Linked DNA regions of Coturnix japonica. The protein of the gene in region 1 interacts with the protein of each later gene in a pairwise test. Links are inferred from orthologs where the notes say so. Each region holds a gene or a part of one and is shown in the gene's direction. Other genes may lie near its edges.

Evidence for each region. The genes of interacting proteins can lie anywhere in the genome.
Region 2: the proteins of PPP1CA (region 1) and PPP1R9B interact in binary tests that used the Homo sapiens proteins (3 or more experiments, as listed by UniProt). The link is inferred for Coturnix japonica from reciprocal best matches to the Homo sapiens genes PPP1CA and PPP1R9B.
Region 3: the proteins of PPP1CA (region 1) and LMTK2 interact in a two-hybrid assay, tested with the Homo sapiens proteins (2 studies listed by BioGRID and IntAct, with this or other methods). The link is inferred for Coturnix japonica from reciprocal best matches to the Homo sapiens genes PPP1CA and LMTK2.
Region 4: the proteins of PPP1CA (region 1) and torsin-1A-interacting protein 1-like interact in a two-hybrid assay, tested with the Homo sapiens proteins (2 studies listed by BioGRID and IntAct). The link is inferred for Coturnix japonica from reciprocal best matches to the Homo sapiens genes PPP1CA and TOR1AIP1.

The regions. Positions count from the first base shown.
Region 1 is NC_029520.1:170,044-174,247, reverse strand, and holds PPP1CA (serine/threonine-protein phosphatase PP1-alpha catalytic subunit), read left to right. Parts: upstream 1-1,404; 5' UTR 1,405-1,554; coding exon 1,555-1,714; intron 1,715-2,107; coding exon 2,108-2,239; intron 2,240-2,319; coding exon 2,320-2,550; intron 2,551-2,944; coding exon 2,945-3,049; intron 3,050-3,122; coding exon 3,123-3,346; intron 3,347-3,517; coding exon 3,518-3,652; intron 3,653-3,734; coding exon 3,735-3,845; 3' UTR 3,846-4,033; downstream 4,034-4,204. Other genes in the region: CARNS1 (carnosine synthase 1), read right to left, coding at 223-225; cell cycle checkpoint control protein RAD9A, read right to left, coding at 4,109-4,204. UniProt on the Homo sapiens protein: Protein phosphatase that associates with over 200 regulatory proteins to form highly specific holoenzymes which dephosphorylate hundreds of biological targets.
Region 2 is NC_029542.1:2,575,945-2,580,150, forward strand, and holds the start of PPP1R9B (neurabin-2), read left to right. Parts: upstream 1-1,406; 5' UTR 1,407-1,549; coding exon 1,550-2,836; intron 2,837-4,206. UniProt on the Homo sapiens protein: Seems to act as a scaffold protein in multiple signaling pathways. Modulates excitatory synaptic transmission and dendritic spine morphology. Binds to actin filaments (F-actin) and shows cross-linking activity. Binds along the sides of the F-actin.
Region 3 is NC_029529.1:1,153,225-1,157,361, forward strand, and holds the start of LMTK2 (serine/threonine-protein kinase LMTK2), read left to right. Parts: upstream 1-1,337; 5' UTR 1,338-1,524; coding exon 1,525-1,651; intron 1,652-4,137. UniProt on the Homo sapiens protein: Phosphorylates PPP1C, phosphorylase b and CFTR.
Region 4 is NC_029523.1:5,654,550-5,658,749, forward strand, and holds the start of torsin-1A-interacting protein 1-like, read left to right. Parts: upstream 1-1,400; 5' UTR 1,401-1,510; coding exon 1,511-1,625; intron 1,626-1,716; coding exon 1,717-1,785; intron 1,786-2,389; coding exon 2,390-2,518; intron 2,519-2,938; coding exon 2,939-2,995; intron 2,996-3,693; coding exon 3,694-3,753; intron 3,754-4,200. Other genes in the region: torsin-1A-interacting protein 2-like, read right to left, coding at 31-64. UniProt on the Homo sapiens protein: Required for nuclear membrane integrity. Induces TOR1A and TOR1B ATPase activity and is required for their location on the nuclear membrane. Binds to A- and B-type lamins. Possible role in membrane attachment and assembly of the nuclear lamina.

The DNA.
Region 1 (4,204 bases):
CGGGTTCAGGGGAGGCATCGGGCAGCCACGGGACGTCGCTGGGGCGGTGGTGTCGGGGTGCCCGGGAGCGGTGCCAGCCCACGGACAAAGCGTCCCCTTGTCCCCGCGGGGTCACGCGGAGGCGGTGGGCACGGCGCTGCCACACGGAACACCCGGCACCACCCAGCCCCGCCGGGAAAGGGGAAGGGGCCCCCCGCCCGCAGACCCCGGGCCGCCACTCACCATGTTGCGGGCGTCGGGAGGCTGCGAGAGACGGGAGAGGGGTCGCGGTGAGCAGGGCGCAGCCCGCACCGTCGGCCCCACTGGTACCGCGCCGTGCCACCGTGCTCCCGGAGGGACACTGAGGCGTGCGGCCACACGGCCCCACCGGGAAGAGCCGTGCCCCGCAGTCACGCGTGGCCGCTGGCAGTGGGGCGGCCCCGTGCCCGGGCTTAGCGGCACAGAGCCCTATTGTCCCCGGCTTCCACCCGCCCGTCCCCGGCGCCGCTCGGTGCCGCCCCGCACGTCCCCCGGCTTAGCGCAACGGCTGCCCGCGATTTCACCGCCGGACACGCGCAGCACGGCGCACGCCAACACCCTCGGACACGCGTGGAGCGGGCGCCGCCTGCACCCACCGGCGGTCGCTGTCGCTTTCGGGCGGTCGTGGCGGCGGTGCCCGCGGAGCCGTGCCCGTTCTGCACCGGCGGCGGAGGCGCCTTCGGTGGCAGAAGGGCGTCCCCGGGGGAGGGCGCGGGGCGGGGCGGGGAAGGGGGGGAGAGAGGGAATGGGGGGTGTGCGGGGTGTGCGGGCACCAGGATTCAGGGGTGCGGGGTATCAGGTGTGGGGTGTGAGGGAACTATGGGGCGTGGAGACAAGGATGCGAGGGCATGAGAACATCTGGGGCGTATGGGGAAATGGAGATGGGGAACGAGGGAGCACGGGGAGAAGGATCTGTGGGGTTACGGGGATCCGGGGACACGGGGATTTGGGAATACGAGGCACGGGGACGTAGCGACGGGTAAATCGGAGGATACGGAGATAAGGGAAGATACGGGAAAAGGGGGATCTGAGAGTGGGGGACGTGGTGACAGAGCAACGTCGGGGTGGGGACGGGTAGATCGGAGGAGCCGGGGCACGGAGACACGGGATGTGAGCACACCGCGACGTGGGGCCGCACGGATCGGGGGACACGGGGAGGCGGGACACGAGCAGCGGGACACGCAGCCGGCAGCGGAGCGGGGACAGTTGCCGGGGTCGTTCGGGGACAGCGGCGCAGCTGACACCGCGGGGCTGAAATGTCACCGGTGTCACCGCGGGCAACGGGCCAGGCTGTGCCGGCACCGCGCGGCTCGTACTGCACGTGGGGGCGGCACGGCGGCACGAGGGGCACAAGTGAGGCGGGTGGAGCCGGTGGCAGCACCGTGTCTCTCGGCACACGTCCCCGCGGGGCTCCCCACGCGCCGCGAGGCTGACAACGGCAACAGCCGCCGGGCAACCGGCCGGCACGGGGAACGACACGGCGCCGCCTCGTGGGAGCGCGCAGCCCCCACGCGCCTCCGCGGCCTCCCATCCGCCATGGGGCGCTCTCGCCACCCGCCGCTCGCCCCGGCCGCTCTCTATGGCCGCGGGGCCGGGACCGGGGCGGGCCAGGGCGGGGGGGGGAAGCAGCGTCCGGCGGCCATGGCGGATACCGAGAAGCTCAACCTCGACTCCATCATCGGCCGCCTCCTGGAGGGTGAGCGATGGGCCTAGTGCTCCCGGACCGCCTCGGGAGCCGCTAGGGGAGGGAAGGACCGGCGCTGTGCCGCCAAGGAGGGGCTGGAGAACGGGGCTGCGGGCCGGGGCCTGCGGGGAAACGGGGGCCGTGCGAGGCTCTGGGGGTCCAACTGTGGGGCTGTGGGGCAGCGGGGGGTATCGGGGCAGCGGGGGGCCGGGGGGAGCCGGGCGGTGGGAGCCGCTGGGGGCTGTGGGAATGAGGGGGGCTGCGGGCGATCGGGGCGGATGGGGGGTGGCTGCAGAGGGCCGGGGGCACCGGGAGGGCCGTGCGTTAGTGCGGGACTGTTAGGGCACGGCGGCTCTGCGGGCTCCGGGGGTGGAGTGGGCTCTGCTGAAAGCCACCCCCGCACAGTGCAAGGCTCACGGCCTGGGAAGAACGTGCAGCTGACAGAGAACGAGATCCGGGGGCTGTGCCTGAAGTCACGGGAGATATTCCTGAGCCAGCCCATCCTGCTGGAGCTCGAGGCTCCGCTCAAGATCTGCGGTGAGCGACGAGCCGGGGGGAGGGGAAGGGGGCGGGCTGGGAGCCAGCGTCACCGCGTGTCCCCCGCGATCTTCTTACAGGCGACATCCATGGACAATACTATGACTTGCTTCGGCTCTTTGAATATGGAGGCTTTCCACCAGAGAGCAACTACCTATTCCTTGGTGACTATGTTGACAGAGGAAAGCAGTCTTTAGAAACAATTTGTCTTCTATTGGCCTACAAAATTAAATACCCGGAGAACTTTTTCCTGCTGCGTGGCAACCACGAATGTGCCAGCATCAACCGCATCTACGGCTTCTATGATGAGTGTGAGTGCTGCACCGGCCCCACTACTGACAAACGGGACTGCCTTGTCACCTCACTGCCAACCCCATATGATACAGCCAGCCCAAAGTCCCCCCTTCCATCCCCATTTGCAGCTCTTCCCATCTCCTGCAGACCTTATGTTCATCCCAGCTACTTTCTCCTGCAGACCTTATGCCCCCATCCCAGCCATCTCCTCCTGCAGACCTTATGCCCCATCCCAGCTACCTCCTCCTGCAGACCTCATACCCCCATCCCAGCCACCTCCACGGCCACCCCCCCAGCCCCCTGGAGGGTTCAGTGCTGCCCTGTGTGTGTTGTGATACACCAGAGGGTGGGGAGGGTGGAACATGGCCCACATGAAGGGCTCCTGTGAGCACCCACCCCGCTGCCTCACAGGCAAGCGGCGATACAACATCAAGCTGTGGAAAACCTTCACCGATTGTTTTAACTGTTTACCAATTGCAGCAATTGTGGATGAGAAGATATTCTGCTGTCACGGAGGTGGGCACAGGGCTGGGGGCTGCCGCCTGGGTCCAAAGGCCGCCACACAGCATAACCTGACACTCCTGTGCAGGGCTGTCTCCTGACTTGCAGTCGATGGAACAGATCCGGCGCATCATGCGACCCACGGACGTACCCGACCAGGGCCTGCTGTGTGATCTCCTGTGGTCTGACCCTGACAAAGATGTCTTAGGATGGGGTGAAAATGACAGAGGAGTGTCCTTCACCTTTGGGGCCGAGGTGGTGGCCAAGTTCCTGCACAAGCATGACCTCGATCTCATCTGCAGGGCACACCAGGTAATGGGGTCGGGCCTCACCTGGGCTCCATAACGGTGGAGCTTTTCCCAGGAGGGGCCATTTGCTCTTGAGGATGTGGTTGGGCTCTTTTGAAGGGGATGCTGCCCCCTGGGGGAGTTGGTGGGCTCTATGGACAGAGAACAGGGAGATATGAGTGCTGCTGCCCCACAGGTGGTGGAGGACGGCTACGAGTTCTTTGCCAAACGCCAGCTTGTCACCCTCTTCTCTGCACCCAACTACTGCGGGGAGTTTGACAACGCAGGAGCCATGATGAGTGTGGACGAGACCCTCATGTGCTCCTTCCAAGTGAGCTGGGGCTTTGCCGGGGAGGGGGCAGCACACAGGGCTCTGCCTGCAGCCCCTTCACTCACCCTTCACTTCCTTGCAGATTCTGAAACCAGCAGACAAGAACAAGGGCAAGTACGGGCAGTTCAGTGGGCTGAACCCTGCTGGCCGCCCCGTCACCCCACCACGCAACTCTGCCAAAGCCAAGAAGTGAGTGTCCACCGCCAGCAGCCCCAGCACCAGGTCGCTCCTTTCTCCATTCGTTTTTTTATTTGTCAGATCCTGCCCTTGCCGCTTTCTACTGTACCAAATGTACCCTCTGGGGCAGGACCCGCCCCTCAGTTGGCAGTGAAGGCAGGGCAGGAGGCTTTTTTTGGGGAATAAACTTGTAATGGGTCTTAAGATGTGGCTTTAGGATCACACCCTACGTGGCCAGGCAGTGCCAGCTGCTGCGCCATGGCATCGCAATGGGGGCTCTCAGCATTCGGCATCGCTGTCCTCTGCCAGCACCTCCTGGCTGGGGGCTGGGCCAGGCCCCCCCGGTGTCAGCACGGAGCCAAAAAACAACGAGCG
Region 2 (4,206 bases), on another chromosome or scaffold:
GGGGACAGCTGACAGGCCAGAAATGGTGCATTGCACACGCGTGTGCATGGGGGGGGGGGATGGGGAGTATATCTATGCATTCATGCATGGGGTGGGGGTCCAAAGCCCCCCTGGTATTGAGTGGGACTGGAGGGGGGGGGGGTTATGCAGTAGGGCTGGGGGGGGTGAGCAGGCCCTGCAGCGGAAGGGGAAGGGGGGGCAGGGGGGGCTGTCGCTCTGCTCTGCGTCACGCCACGTCACGCACAAAGGGCTGTCGGGTGCTGCAGCCGCTGCTGGGTCCTGCTGCCCGTATCTGCACTGTGTGGGGGGCTGTGGTTGATGGGGAGGGGGGGGAGGAAGGGATGGTGCCCCCATATTGGAAACCAGGGTGTATAATGTGTGGTTGTTTTGGTCATTGAAGAGCCCTAAAGTGGTGCTGTGCTGTGTGCTCTGGTCCCTGTGGGGTCTGTATGCTCTGGGAGGGGAGTGGGACCCCAATAACACCCCTAAAATATACCCCCCCCCCCCTCCAGGTTGACCTCCTGGTCAAGGTGTGGGTGGGTGGGTTGGCAGTGGGGAGGGGAGAGGGGTGGGTTGATGGGGACAGAAAGTCAATGGGGATCCTATGGGGGCATCATAGAAACAGGGGCTGGGGGAGTTCTGGCTACGTGGGGGATCAAAGGGATCAGAGCAAGGAATGTGTGGGCAAATATGGGGGGGGGCGGGCAGAGGCTAAAAGGTGGAGAGGGGGGACATGGGGACACAGGGACGGGAGGGGGGCATGGGGGTAAGAATGGGGGATATGGGTTATACACAGGGAGGATATGGATGGGGCACAGGGAACAAACACTGGAGGACTAAGGGATGGGGGGGGGGTGGTCATGGGGATACGGGGGTGTATAAAGGTGGGGGGCAACTGGCCAGAAGTGGGGGGACCCAGGGACCATCGTGGGGCTGTGGGATGGAAGTGAGGATGCAGAGGGGCAGGGCTGGGGGTCCCAAGGGCTGTCATAGGGGACAGAGGGGGAGCAAACCCGGGGTGGGGGGGGCTATGGGGAGGGGGGATAGATATGGGGACAGAGCTGGGCTGTAGGGACAATGCACAGTGCCAGGGAAGGGGGGGAAACGCGGCCCCAACCATGTGCAGGGGATGGAGGGGGGCTGAGGGGAGGGGGCGGCGGTGGCAGCAGCGTTCTGTGGGTGGGTGGGGGGACACACATAGAGCTGGGGGGGGCATCATCCAGCAGAGCCCGAAGCTTTAGCGGTGAGGAAGAGGAAGAGCAAGAGAGCGTCGCTAAGACCCAGAGGGCTCTGCGGGCAGCGGGGCGGGCGGATCGCGGGCGGCAGCGCTCATCAGCAGCGCAGAGAGAGAAAGGGGAAGAGGAGGAGGAGAAAGGAGGAAGGAAGGAAGGAGGGCCGGGGTGGAGGATAGGGGGGGGGGGGCGCGCTGGGCCCCCCCAGGCTGACGATGGCCTGACCGGGTCCCCGCAGCCCCCCAGCACGGCCCCCTCCCCGTGCCCAGCGGGCGGCGGGCGATGCGGCTCGGCGGTGACGGAGGTTTCGGGGCAGGATGCTGAGGACGGAGGCAGCGAGCGGGGCCGCAGCCCCGGGGGGCAGCGGGGGGACCCCGGGCGGCGGGGCGGGCAGCGGGGGGTTGAGGAGCGCATCCCCGCACCGCAACGCGTACGAGGCGACCATCCAGGCCCTGAAACCCACAAAGGATGCCGAGGGTGAGGACGGCAAGAAAGCCCGCAGCAAGAAGTATGGCTCCAACGTCCATCGCATCAAGAACATGTTCCTGCAGATGGGGACGGCGCCGGGCCCCGAGGGAGCGTGCGACTTGGCCAAGGGCAAGGAGAAGCCGGTCCGACTGTCCCTGCCCCGCACCGGCAGCCTGAGCGATGGCATGGAGCAGGGCAGCACCCTAAAGCTGGGCACCAGCGTGTCCGAGAGGGTGAGTCGCTTCGACTCCAAGCCCGACAAACCCTTCTCCAAGCTGCAGGAGACAAGGAAGATCTTCGAGAGGAGCCCGCAGGAGAAGGAGACCACCACCAAACTGCTGCTGCGCAAAGAACGCGCCGGCTTCCAGGACCGTAAGCTGGACGTGGTGGTGAAGTTCAATGGCAGCACTGAGTCTTTGGATAAGCTGGACACCGAGGCCGTGTCGCCCACTGTCAGCCAGCTGAGCGCTGTGTTTGAGAAGGCTGACCTGAGGAACAACCTGCATAAGACCCCGGGGCGCACGGGGCCGCTCAACTCCAAGCTGGTGAGCAAAAGGTCCCGCGTCTTCTTGCAAGGAGATGGTGGCAAAGCTGATGGCGGTGCAGAAGGAAGCGCTGGGACCACACGGCCACGACCTGCAGAGGAGGAGAAAGTGATGGGCAAAGCCCCGAGGTCGGGGGAGAAGGATGGGAGCGTCCCGCGGGTGCAGGAGGTCTGCAAGATCAAACCCGTGGAGGTGGAGGAGAGTGGAGAGTCGGAGGCGGAGGTGGAGGTGAAGGAGCCCACGGCTGTAAGTGAAGTGGCCAAAGGGGCCGAAGGGCTGGTGGCCCCCGAACCGTGCCTGGATGGGGGCGAGGAGCCCCCCGACACCAAGGAGGGAGGAAAGGGTGAGAGGGTGGAGGAGAGCGAGCTGTATGATGAGTCCAAGAAGGAGGACTTCTCCGAGGCGGACCTGGTGGACATAAGTGCCTACAGTGGGCTCGGGGAGGACTCGGGGGGCAGCGGGTTGGATGAGGATGAGGAGGCGGATGGGCTGTATGAGCCTGAATCCAGCTGCATGGAGATCCCTGGGCTGTCCGAGGAAGAGGAGCCCGTCCCCAACCGCAAGATCCAGTTCAGCACGGCGCCCATCCAGGTGAGTCCCGCCGGGGTGCTTTGGGGGGCCCAAAGAAGGGAGAAGAGGGGAGGTTTGGGGGTCCTCAATCATCCAGCGATGGGGTTGGAAGACATAGAGGTGGGCAACCTCCTGCCCCATTGGCCATGGCCCAAGCTTGGGCAGCCTCCATGCAGCGCTGATGGCACAGAGTGGAGAAGGGCAGAGCGTCTGCAATGTGCCATTGTACCCCAATAGTGAGCACCCACTGCTGGGGACACATGGCCACGTGGGGAGGGGAAAGGGACACGGTATGGGGTGGAGACCTTGGGGCTGTGAGCTGTTGTGTTGGTGACACGTGGAGGATGGGGATGGCACACACTGCCAACCCAGTGCCCCAAAACCACACGTTTTGGGGGTGGAAGCCCATAATATTCATCCAGGCCTCATTTGCTGCCAGGTTCCACCAGCCCAGCCCTGGTCCCCATGTGCTGTCAGTGCTGGGACTCCCTCCGGAGCAGGGAAGGTTGATGCCCACCCCGCTGTGCTCAGCATGGGGACCATTTCAGGAAGTGGAGGAAGGGGAAGTGCCTCATGGCAGCAGCAGGAGCTGCTCATCCCCCTCCTTGTCCCCATATGGGGACAGCTGTGGGATTTGGGGTCCCCCCACCCATTGCCAGCCATGGCACGGAGGGCGATGAGGCCATGCCGTTAATTCAGGGCTTTCTCTGATGCTCGTATCCCCCCGGCTGGAGGAACAGAAATTGCTTTGTGCCTCGCTGGGTTATTTATAGCAGCACGGCCTATATTCTGGCTCTGAGTCAGCGGCGGGTGGGTGGCCCCACCTGGGATGGGACACGGGCACCGCGGTGGCACCGCGTGGGGATGGGGTCCCATGGTGGCCATACACTGCTGGGGGTTCTACACTGCATGGATCAGCCATGCCAGCCCTGAGAAGGAACCCCCCCCCCCTTCGTGGAGCTGTGGATGTGCTTGGAGGGATGCTCTGCTCCCCTGATGTTTGTCCCCTGCTCTGCCCCTCTGTTGGGGGGGACCCCCTGTCACAGTGCATGTCAGCATCGTGAGCCCCCAGAATGGGCACATAGGGACACCCCAGCACCCATAGAGAGCACCCATAGAGAGAACCCATAGAGAGCACCCTGCTGTGCCCAGGGATGGGGGTCCCTGCTGCCAGCCCCCTCCCTGGACAAATCTGCTCCCTCCTGCTGTGTCTCCTTTGGGAGCTGCTCTGGGTCCCCTGCAAGTCTCCAACACCCCAAAGACTTGGGGACAGCACTGAGGGGCACAGTGGGACAAGCTGGGCCATGCCTGGACCCCTCTGGGTACCCTGTGCAGATGGGGGGCAGGTGTCCAGCTTGTCCCTAGGGGTGCCACACGGGTGGGTCCTGCCT
Region 3 (4,137 bases), on another chromosome or scaffold:
TGGCAGTGCTAACAGCGCATAATCAAGAGACATGAGACTGTGCTGTGTAATACATCCCATCTTGTGTACAGGAAGAGTTTTGTTTTATTTAAGTAAATATATTTTCTGTATGAGTACCTCTTGCATTCCTTGGCAGCGGGTTGCTCATCCCTTTAGTCTCCCAGAGTTGCTACAAACGTTAAGCTGCAGACAGGGGAATGGTAACAGGCTGTGGAGATCAGGTGCTGTGTGGCTGTTTGGGATGCTCACGGGGTGTTTGGAGATAGGCAGTACTTGTGACTAGGGCAGAACAAGGAATTGAAGGGCTGGTTATAACCATTCTTATTCTGCCGGTGACTAATTCACAGCTCACCTTACGTGTCCCGTCATTACAGCATAGTGCTCTGACGAGTCCTTTAATGACACGGTGCCGTAACTCCCCAGATAGTATCACAACATGTTGTTATCAGTAAGTTACATCAAAGGCTTAGCATTCAATTAGGACAGGGCGGGCTCTGAAATGAGGCAGTCTGCCGTGTTTAGAGTGCACTGAATTGTTCTGGCTGTTGAAATGAGAACACCCCTGCATTGCAAACCTGCTGACAGGCTGCAAACGAAGCTTTAAGCTTCAGGTCTGCAGCTGCTGTGAACCTCGGGGTGATTTTCTTGTGGAATTCGCATGAAGTCAGTGTCAGATCTCAGAAGTGTCTGAGCTGAGCTGTGCCCACAGCACACGGCGCTATTTGCACTGCGGTATGAGCTGTTTGTACCTCAACAGCAGCGATGCGCAGTGCCCGGCTTGGCGCCTGCTCTGGAAGGTGACGGGCCGCAGCAAGGCGTGCTGCTCAGCTGCTGTCACAAAGTACCTCGAGCATTAGCAGGAGCAGAATAAACAACGGAACATTGTCTCCCACCTTATTATCCAGTTAAAATATTTCTGGTGGAAGAAAAGCTGATTCAGACACGTCAGATGTGAGCCGTTGGTAGCGCAGTTACCCCAGGCCGCACAGCCCGACCCGCTGTCCCGTCGGTCCCGCGCGCGGGTTCAGGCGGGCTCCTCCCGTAGCCCCGCCCCCATGCCCACGGTGCCGGCTGATTGGTTCCGAGCTCCTTCACTCCAGGGGAAGCCCCGCCCCCTCCGCGCGGGTCGTGTGTGCTGATTGGCAGACGCGCCGCTCCGTTCTCGCGCCGCAGCCTGCGCTGGGCCCAGCTCGCCCCGTGCGGTGCGATTGGCGGATCTGGCCGTCAATCTCGGATCCGCCCGGTCCCGACCGGCGGTCCCGCCCCCCGAACACGGGACGCGTTTCGATTGGCGCAGCGGGCTGTCGGTCAGCAGAGCGCCCGCCCCTCTCGGTCAGGTAGCCCGGAAGATGGCGGCGGCGGCGGCGGCGGCCGGAGGGGCCGTGTGAGCGGAGCGGGGACGCCTATGCCGCGTGGGCCGCGCCGCGCAGGCGGGGAGCAGCGGCTGCAGCAGGAGCTCCGCGGAGACGCTGAGAGCCTCGAGCCCCTCATTGGGCGCCGAGCCGCGGCCCGGCGGCGGAGGACATGAGGCGGCGCGGGGGGCTCGTCCCGGCGGGCGGGCGGCGGGGGGGCGGCCCGGCCGGGCTGGCCGTGCTGCTGTCGCTGCTCCTGGGGAGCGGCCGGGCGGCTCCGCTTCCGCTGGCGGCAGCAGGTGAGACACGGGGGGCGGCGCGGGGGCTGCGGGGCGCGGCTGAGGCAGCGCTGTCCTGCCCCGCTACGAGCGGACGCGGCTCCCGAGACCCCGCGTTGCGCTCGTGCCGCGCTGCGACCTGTTGTGCAGCGGCCGCCCGTGTGAGCCGCGCTGATCGCGCCGTGCTTCCCCCGCTCCGATCGATGCGGTGCTCCCGCCGGGGCCGCGGCTCCTGGGGGCGGGCGGCGCTTCCCTCGACGGGAATGCGGTCCCGGCTGCTCGGCCCCGCGTTAGGTAACCGGGCGGCCTTCGAGCCCTTGTCTTCCTGTTTATCTCAAGGCACGCACGGGCGGTGCGTTCTCCCATTCTCACGAATCACTGCGGGGAGGTTTATTTGCTCTGATAGGTAGCAGTCGCCTCAATCATTCACTCATTTTTTTGTGCTTTATTGATACTTCTGAACGTAAAATTGAATTGGGACTGAATTCCGTTGGGCTCGACACAGATATGCGCTGGGGTTGAGTTGTGTCGGTGTAGCTTGGAGCAGCTGGACGGGGCAGGGCAGCAGTGCGAGGGGAGCTGTGAAGCTCAGCGCTTTGGTTGCTGTTCCACAGAAAGTATCAGGGCTGGATGTGGATCCCACCCTTGTTTTGGTTTTGGACCTACATTCTTGCCATTTGTTTCCTTCCCAAGGCAATTTCCATTGTTGATGAGTTATTCCTTCTGTCCGCCTGCCTCGAGGCTGCTCCTTCTAAAAGAAAGTTCTGGGAGAAATGAAGGCCCTGAGGAGCCCTGGGTCACACTTGTATTTTCTTGGAGGCTAAATTCTAGCTTTCTCATTTATGAAATATGTGAGAAATTTCCCAATGATGCTGCCTTGTTGTCAGGCCATGAGGGAGGGCACAGCAGTTCTGGGCAGCAGGCTTTTCCTTCTTGGTGTCTGTTCTTGTCCTGAAGTGTTGTTGGTTTTTCTGTTTGAAGGCAGTGTCAGTGCAGGCACTGAGTGTTCTCAGAGTAACCCATGAAATGAGAATTGCTCTGCTATCAAGACTGCACCACGTATCCTCCAAAGCTCAGAGATGAGGATGTAGCTTCTCTGATGCTGTCACAGACCTGTTGCAGTGGGAAGTCACACTAAGCAAATCGCACTTTTGAAGCAGCCTCTGCTATATTGTCACTTTTTCCCTCCTGTGTCCCATGGAAGTCGCTTTGATTTCCTGTGTTGGGACTGGCAGTCGTTGATGACTTTCAGAATAAATAACAGACCCCGCTCTGAACCTTTGCAGCCCTCTCAGCTCACCAACACACACAACCTCCTGCTTAAGAGTTGTAACGTTAGGAATAATTTCATGGACATTTCATAAACTAGTGATGGGTTTTGGAGTTAATTCATGATCCCCCAGTTGGGCACCTACCAGGATGGGCTGCTTCTCTGATGGTGGAGAAGTATTTTGATGTGCCCAGCCTCGAGTGCTGTGCTGGAAAGATGGTGCTCAGCAGAAAAAGGAGGAAAGGAGATGTTGTGGGAGGTGTTTGTAGTGACCACTGTGGAACAGCTCCTGGAATGTGCCCATGATGAAGAGATTTCTCTTTTGGAGGCAGTTGGGGAGCAGGAAGTGGCAATGGATGGCAGATTCTGGCAAGGCTGGCTTGGATTCCTTGTTCAGAAACGTTCCGTTTTGTGGATCTACTGTGGAATTGCAGCAGTTGGTGTCTGGGGAATCGTCGTGTTCCAAGTGTCTTCATCATGATGCAGCTTGTACTTTTAGGTACGTCTTCACGGTGTTTGCAGATGAAGGTGTGCCCTGATGGCGTGTTCTATATTTGTCTCCCATGTTTGAGGCTGCATTTATGAAGTTGCTAGGAAAAAAATAAAAAGGAAATGGTAGAGGAAGGTTTTTGTCGTTGCCCTGATATGGTTCATAGCAATTACTGTAGAAAATAGGAAAAACAAGATGTTGAAGATGCTACTAGCTAGAAACAGACTGACTTAATTTGTTCAGTCAGTGGGAAAGGGAAGGTACTGGGATGTGCTGTGACTGTTGTGAGTACCAGAGTTCACCTGCTGGAGCTGCAGACAGGTCTAACTGAGACCTGCCTCTGTGGGGCCGCTCGGCCTGACCTGCTCCAGCTTGGAGCAGCTGGTAGAATGAAGTATTCAGCTGTTCTGAGCCTGTGGAGCATTAGGTGCTCTACCTGAGTGCATCAGGCCAAGATGATCGTCCTTTATAGCATAGTGTAGCTGATGTATTTCTATGTGAGAAATGCTCTTTAGCAGTAATTTTTGTGGACAAACATACTGCATCATAATCTGACACTTCTGCTTTGCTGTGCTAAAGCTTTACATTCTAATTCAGACTCTCTCTCTCATTTTGACTTGGATTTTCATACTTGACCTTAATTCAGCTGCCTCTCCAGAAAGCTGGGAATCAGAATCAAGGGTATGTGTTAGCATCAGAGGAAGCACTGCTGTCATCTCTGCTGTATGAAGTCCTTGCAAATGCAAA
Region 4 (4,200 bases), on another chromosome or scaffold:
GGAGGTGGAGCAAGCATGGAGTTCACTTACCTCCGGGCAGACCCGCACTTGAATTCTCTTCCATTTCTTTTCTCCCCTGGATCCAAGCACTGTTTTGCTTCACTTTCTCCTTTGCTTGTACAGGGACTTGTCTCCCCCCTGGTGGGGCAGCTGACCAAGTCCTACCCCTGGCAGGGCCACCATCCCGCCTTGGCCTCAGGAACTGCAGCCGAATGCTGGTAGACCTGATAAGTGCAAAGAGCCGCAGTGATTCATGGTGGAAGGGGAAGCTCCTCCCTCCCCTCAAAGTTAGTTTCGTTGCGGGGAAATGAGTGCATGTCACCGTTACGGTATGCCACGAACTCACAGCGCGCAATGCCTGCCAGCCAACCAGTGACAGGCACTGTGGAAAACTCATTAGGAACTTTCCCCGCAGGAGATGAGTTCACGCAGACCAAAGATCTCAGCTCCCAGCTGGAGGGGCACCTTTACCCCCTGGGCTGCCACTGTAGCTCAGATTTCTTACTAAGTGCAAGAATTTAGAGTGCATGGGTGTACATCCTGTGGCTCTCCCAGCCTGGCTCCTGTCCCTCCCTTCCCTGTGCTGTTCTGCTTGCAGAACAAGGAAGCACAAAGATGACGTGCCCTCAGACACTTACCAGGCAGGGCTGGGGCTGGTCAGGGATCCAACTAGAAGCAGCGAGGCAGCCAGCAATGGCCCTGGGGCTCAGCCTTGCCCTGGGGCTGGATGGAGAGTCCTTTCCCTCAATACACTCTGAATCCTCTGCTGTGGGTGCAAAGGTGAACCCTGCCCTTCCTCAGGCGCCCAGGCAGGATGCTGGGAGCTGTAGTTTTCCTCCTTCCTCTCCAACACGGCCGCCTCTTCCTTGACAAGCAGCATTTCGTCAGCAGGGCTGTTTGCTGGAGCGTTCCTTATTATCCTTCGGGGCTGTATCTGTGTTGTAGGTTTAGATATGTTTGGGCAATGCTTTTCAATATGGCAATGCTCCTTGTTGTGCTTACAAACAGTAGATACACTCCATCTTTTCTCCCCTCCCATCCCAGGACCTAATGCATAGGAACCAGTGACATGGGAACCTCACACCAAGGGAAAGTATCAGCACAAGGGCACCAGATCAGGATACAACCTGCATACAAAGAGCCTCAATACAGCCCAGCACCAAAACAAAGCGTTTTTAATGCTGCGTATAGGAAACCTTCAGTCCTTATTGGCAATGGAGGCAGAGTGTCAGAAGGGATCAGACCCATTTCAGGTCCATAAACAGCCAGTGCAGAACTTGGCAGGGATGTATCAGCAATGGAAGGTGCATTTGACCTGTTTATAGCGATAGGTAAGACACAACACGGCAGACATATTGTACCACCCCCCTCCTTCCACCCCTCCCCACCGCTTCCGCGTCACACGGCTCGCGGCCGGAACTAAAGGCGACTCGGGAAGTGAGGTTGGCGGAGCCGCCCCTTGCGGAAAGGCGGCAGCTTCGGTGCGGAGCGGAGCGGGATAGCGGCCGGGATGGTGGGGGACGGCGAGGAGCAGGGCCCGCCGCACGGCCCGGAGCTGAAGCACAGGAGGAAGAGCCCCCGGTTCGCGGCCGAGTCCGAGCCCGACTCCGGTGTGGTGCCGGAAGGTGAGCGGGGCGGGCGGGCGGAATGGGGAAGCGGGCGGGGAGCTGATGGGGGATGTGTGCGGAGCAATGAAAGAGCGGAATCTCGTTGCAGGAGGAGAGAGGGTATTCGGCACCCCGGGCAGCCTGACACGGCCCCCCATCCGCGCCTACAGGGCGGCAGGTGAGTCCCGGTCGCCTGCTGAGCTGGAGCATCCATCCGGCTGTACGGGTGGGACGGTGCGATGTACGGCTGTTGTTTGCGGCCTTAACGATGGCTTTGTCTTTTCAGACTGGTTTCTTTTCTATGAGCACCCCTTCAGTGCTTTATACGGCTGGTCAGCCGGCCCTGACCTTTGCTTTGTGACCTCTGTCACCTTGCTGGACTTTATGCTTTCTGTTGGCAGTGCTAAGTTGGGTTTTGGCCTCTGCTTGGCTGCAGGGTTGGACAAACACTGTTGGTGTGGGTTCATGTCTTCCCAGCTGCCTGAGGGGTTCAGTGAGGGACATGGTGCCCCACAGAGAAGCAGTGCATCTTGCTCTGAGGTGTTTTTAAGCTCTTAAAAGAATCAGTCTATGTGGCAGCACATACAGCTGTTGGCAGTGGATTCCAATCTGCTGTAAGCTTCTCAATTCTTAATTGCTTTTGGGTGTCAAAAGTAACTCTTGGGAGATCACAACTAGGAAGACACAGATTATATGTTTTAAAACTGCACCTTGTCTGTTGGTTTAATGATGAACACTCATTGTACTGCAATTATGTCTGCCTCTTTTATCTCTTTTTCTAGGTAAGTCAGGTGGTTCTTCGGCTTCCTTCCTTCCAGAGAGCCCAGCAAAGGAAGAAGTGGATGACTATGATGTAACTGAACCCAAGAATCCATCAGAGGACCAGCCTAATGTTTATACACCACTGAAAGGTAACTGTACTTAAATGATACCAAAGGAGGAGCTGAGCTGGAACCTAGATGGATGAAGACGTTTAATATATTGTTCTGGGGGGAGCTGGTATCTAACTGCTTGAAGAATAAGGGGGTGGCTTGCATTCATCCAGTCAGTAATTGCTTAATCACACAGTGCAATTCATTGCCTGTAAGAGAACACTGACAAAATCTAGGCACGAGCCAGGTGCCAGGCCCTTCTGGGAGATGTGGCAGTTTTCTTCCTTAATGGACAGATTTGAGAGGCTATCACAGGTCTGGTATGGCAAGACACTGTACTCTTTCCCTGATAACCTCTAAAGAATTCATAGCAAGACCTAAACGCGTGTTGGGAATGGCTTACTATTATACACTCTGATGTGATCACAGCTTTATTTCTCATTTTTGCTTTGGTTTCAGAAAGTAAGGCTGACTTCTTGGAGAAAACTCAAGAGCACCATTCTACAAAACCACAGAGTAAGTGGAGAAATAGATACCAATAGATACCAAGCCCTTCCCTGTAACTATGAGAACGCTACAGAATTGCTTTCCTCTGCTTCACTTTTGGTTTGTGTTTGTGGTTGTGTATGTGTTGGTTGATGTTTGTTGGTGTTTTCCTCTTGACAGGGTCTGCTGTGCCCTGTTGAGGGTGTCAGAGAGTTGCAGAACAGAGTTGCTCATTTAACCATTCTCTGGCTTAAACCAGAACTGCTTTTAGCATCTACTGTCATTAGGTTCATAGTATGTCATTAGGCTGCTGTGCTTATTTTGGTGCTCTTGAAGTAACTACTGCAGGGCGTGTTTGTTCAGTTTATTCATAATAGTGTCATTGACAGTATCCTGATTTGGTCCTGTGTTATTAAAGAGCCTTCAGCTTTGAAACCAGTTGCTGTAGTTTTCAAGGAGCCAGAAATTCACACGTTGTCTTAATTAACAGACAGAATGAAGAAAACATGCTGATCAATAATTGCACTGTGTATATATTCATACAGGTATCTTGGAAAGTTGCTCATAATGCTCTTTGATGGATAACATCTCTAGAATTTTGCTGTCTGAACCCATTTAAATAAATACACCAAGAGTGTATTTTATTACAGCCTTTCTATAAGCCCTTTCCCCACTGGATAATTGCTGCCTTATATATTTTTCTCATGTTCCTTTCTTAATCTCGACAGGCAGAAGTAAATTCCGAGATAAGCCCAGCACGGGGAAGCAGTCACAGCCCTTGGCCAAAAGTAAGACTTCTGCTTCCACTTCTATTCCATATGTGTTATTTTAACCATTCTCTGGCTTGCTCAAACTGGGCATCCTTACAATTAAAATCGAGGTGGACATAGTGGTATAGCTCTTTGTTGCCACAGAACTCAGTCTGTTTTATTATGGGTTTTACTGGGGATGGAATCAAGCCTCATGCTTGTAGTAGGTCAAACACGTGTTAGTTTAGCTGTTCTAATTCAGAATGAAAACAAAGTTTCTGATGCTCACTGTGCTCCTGTGCACTGTTTGCCATTCTCCAGTAGTATGGAGCACCTGTGTTTGATATGAATAATGCATGTTAATATTTAAGAGGAAACAGCAACAGAAATTGTTCTGGTACTGCCAGGTTTTCTATCAGACTCTCTACAGAAACTAAATGGAGGAACTAACTTGACCTCTTTAAGCGCCATTTTAAGCTGAGTTTG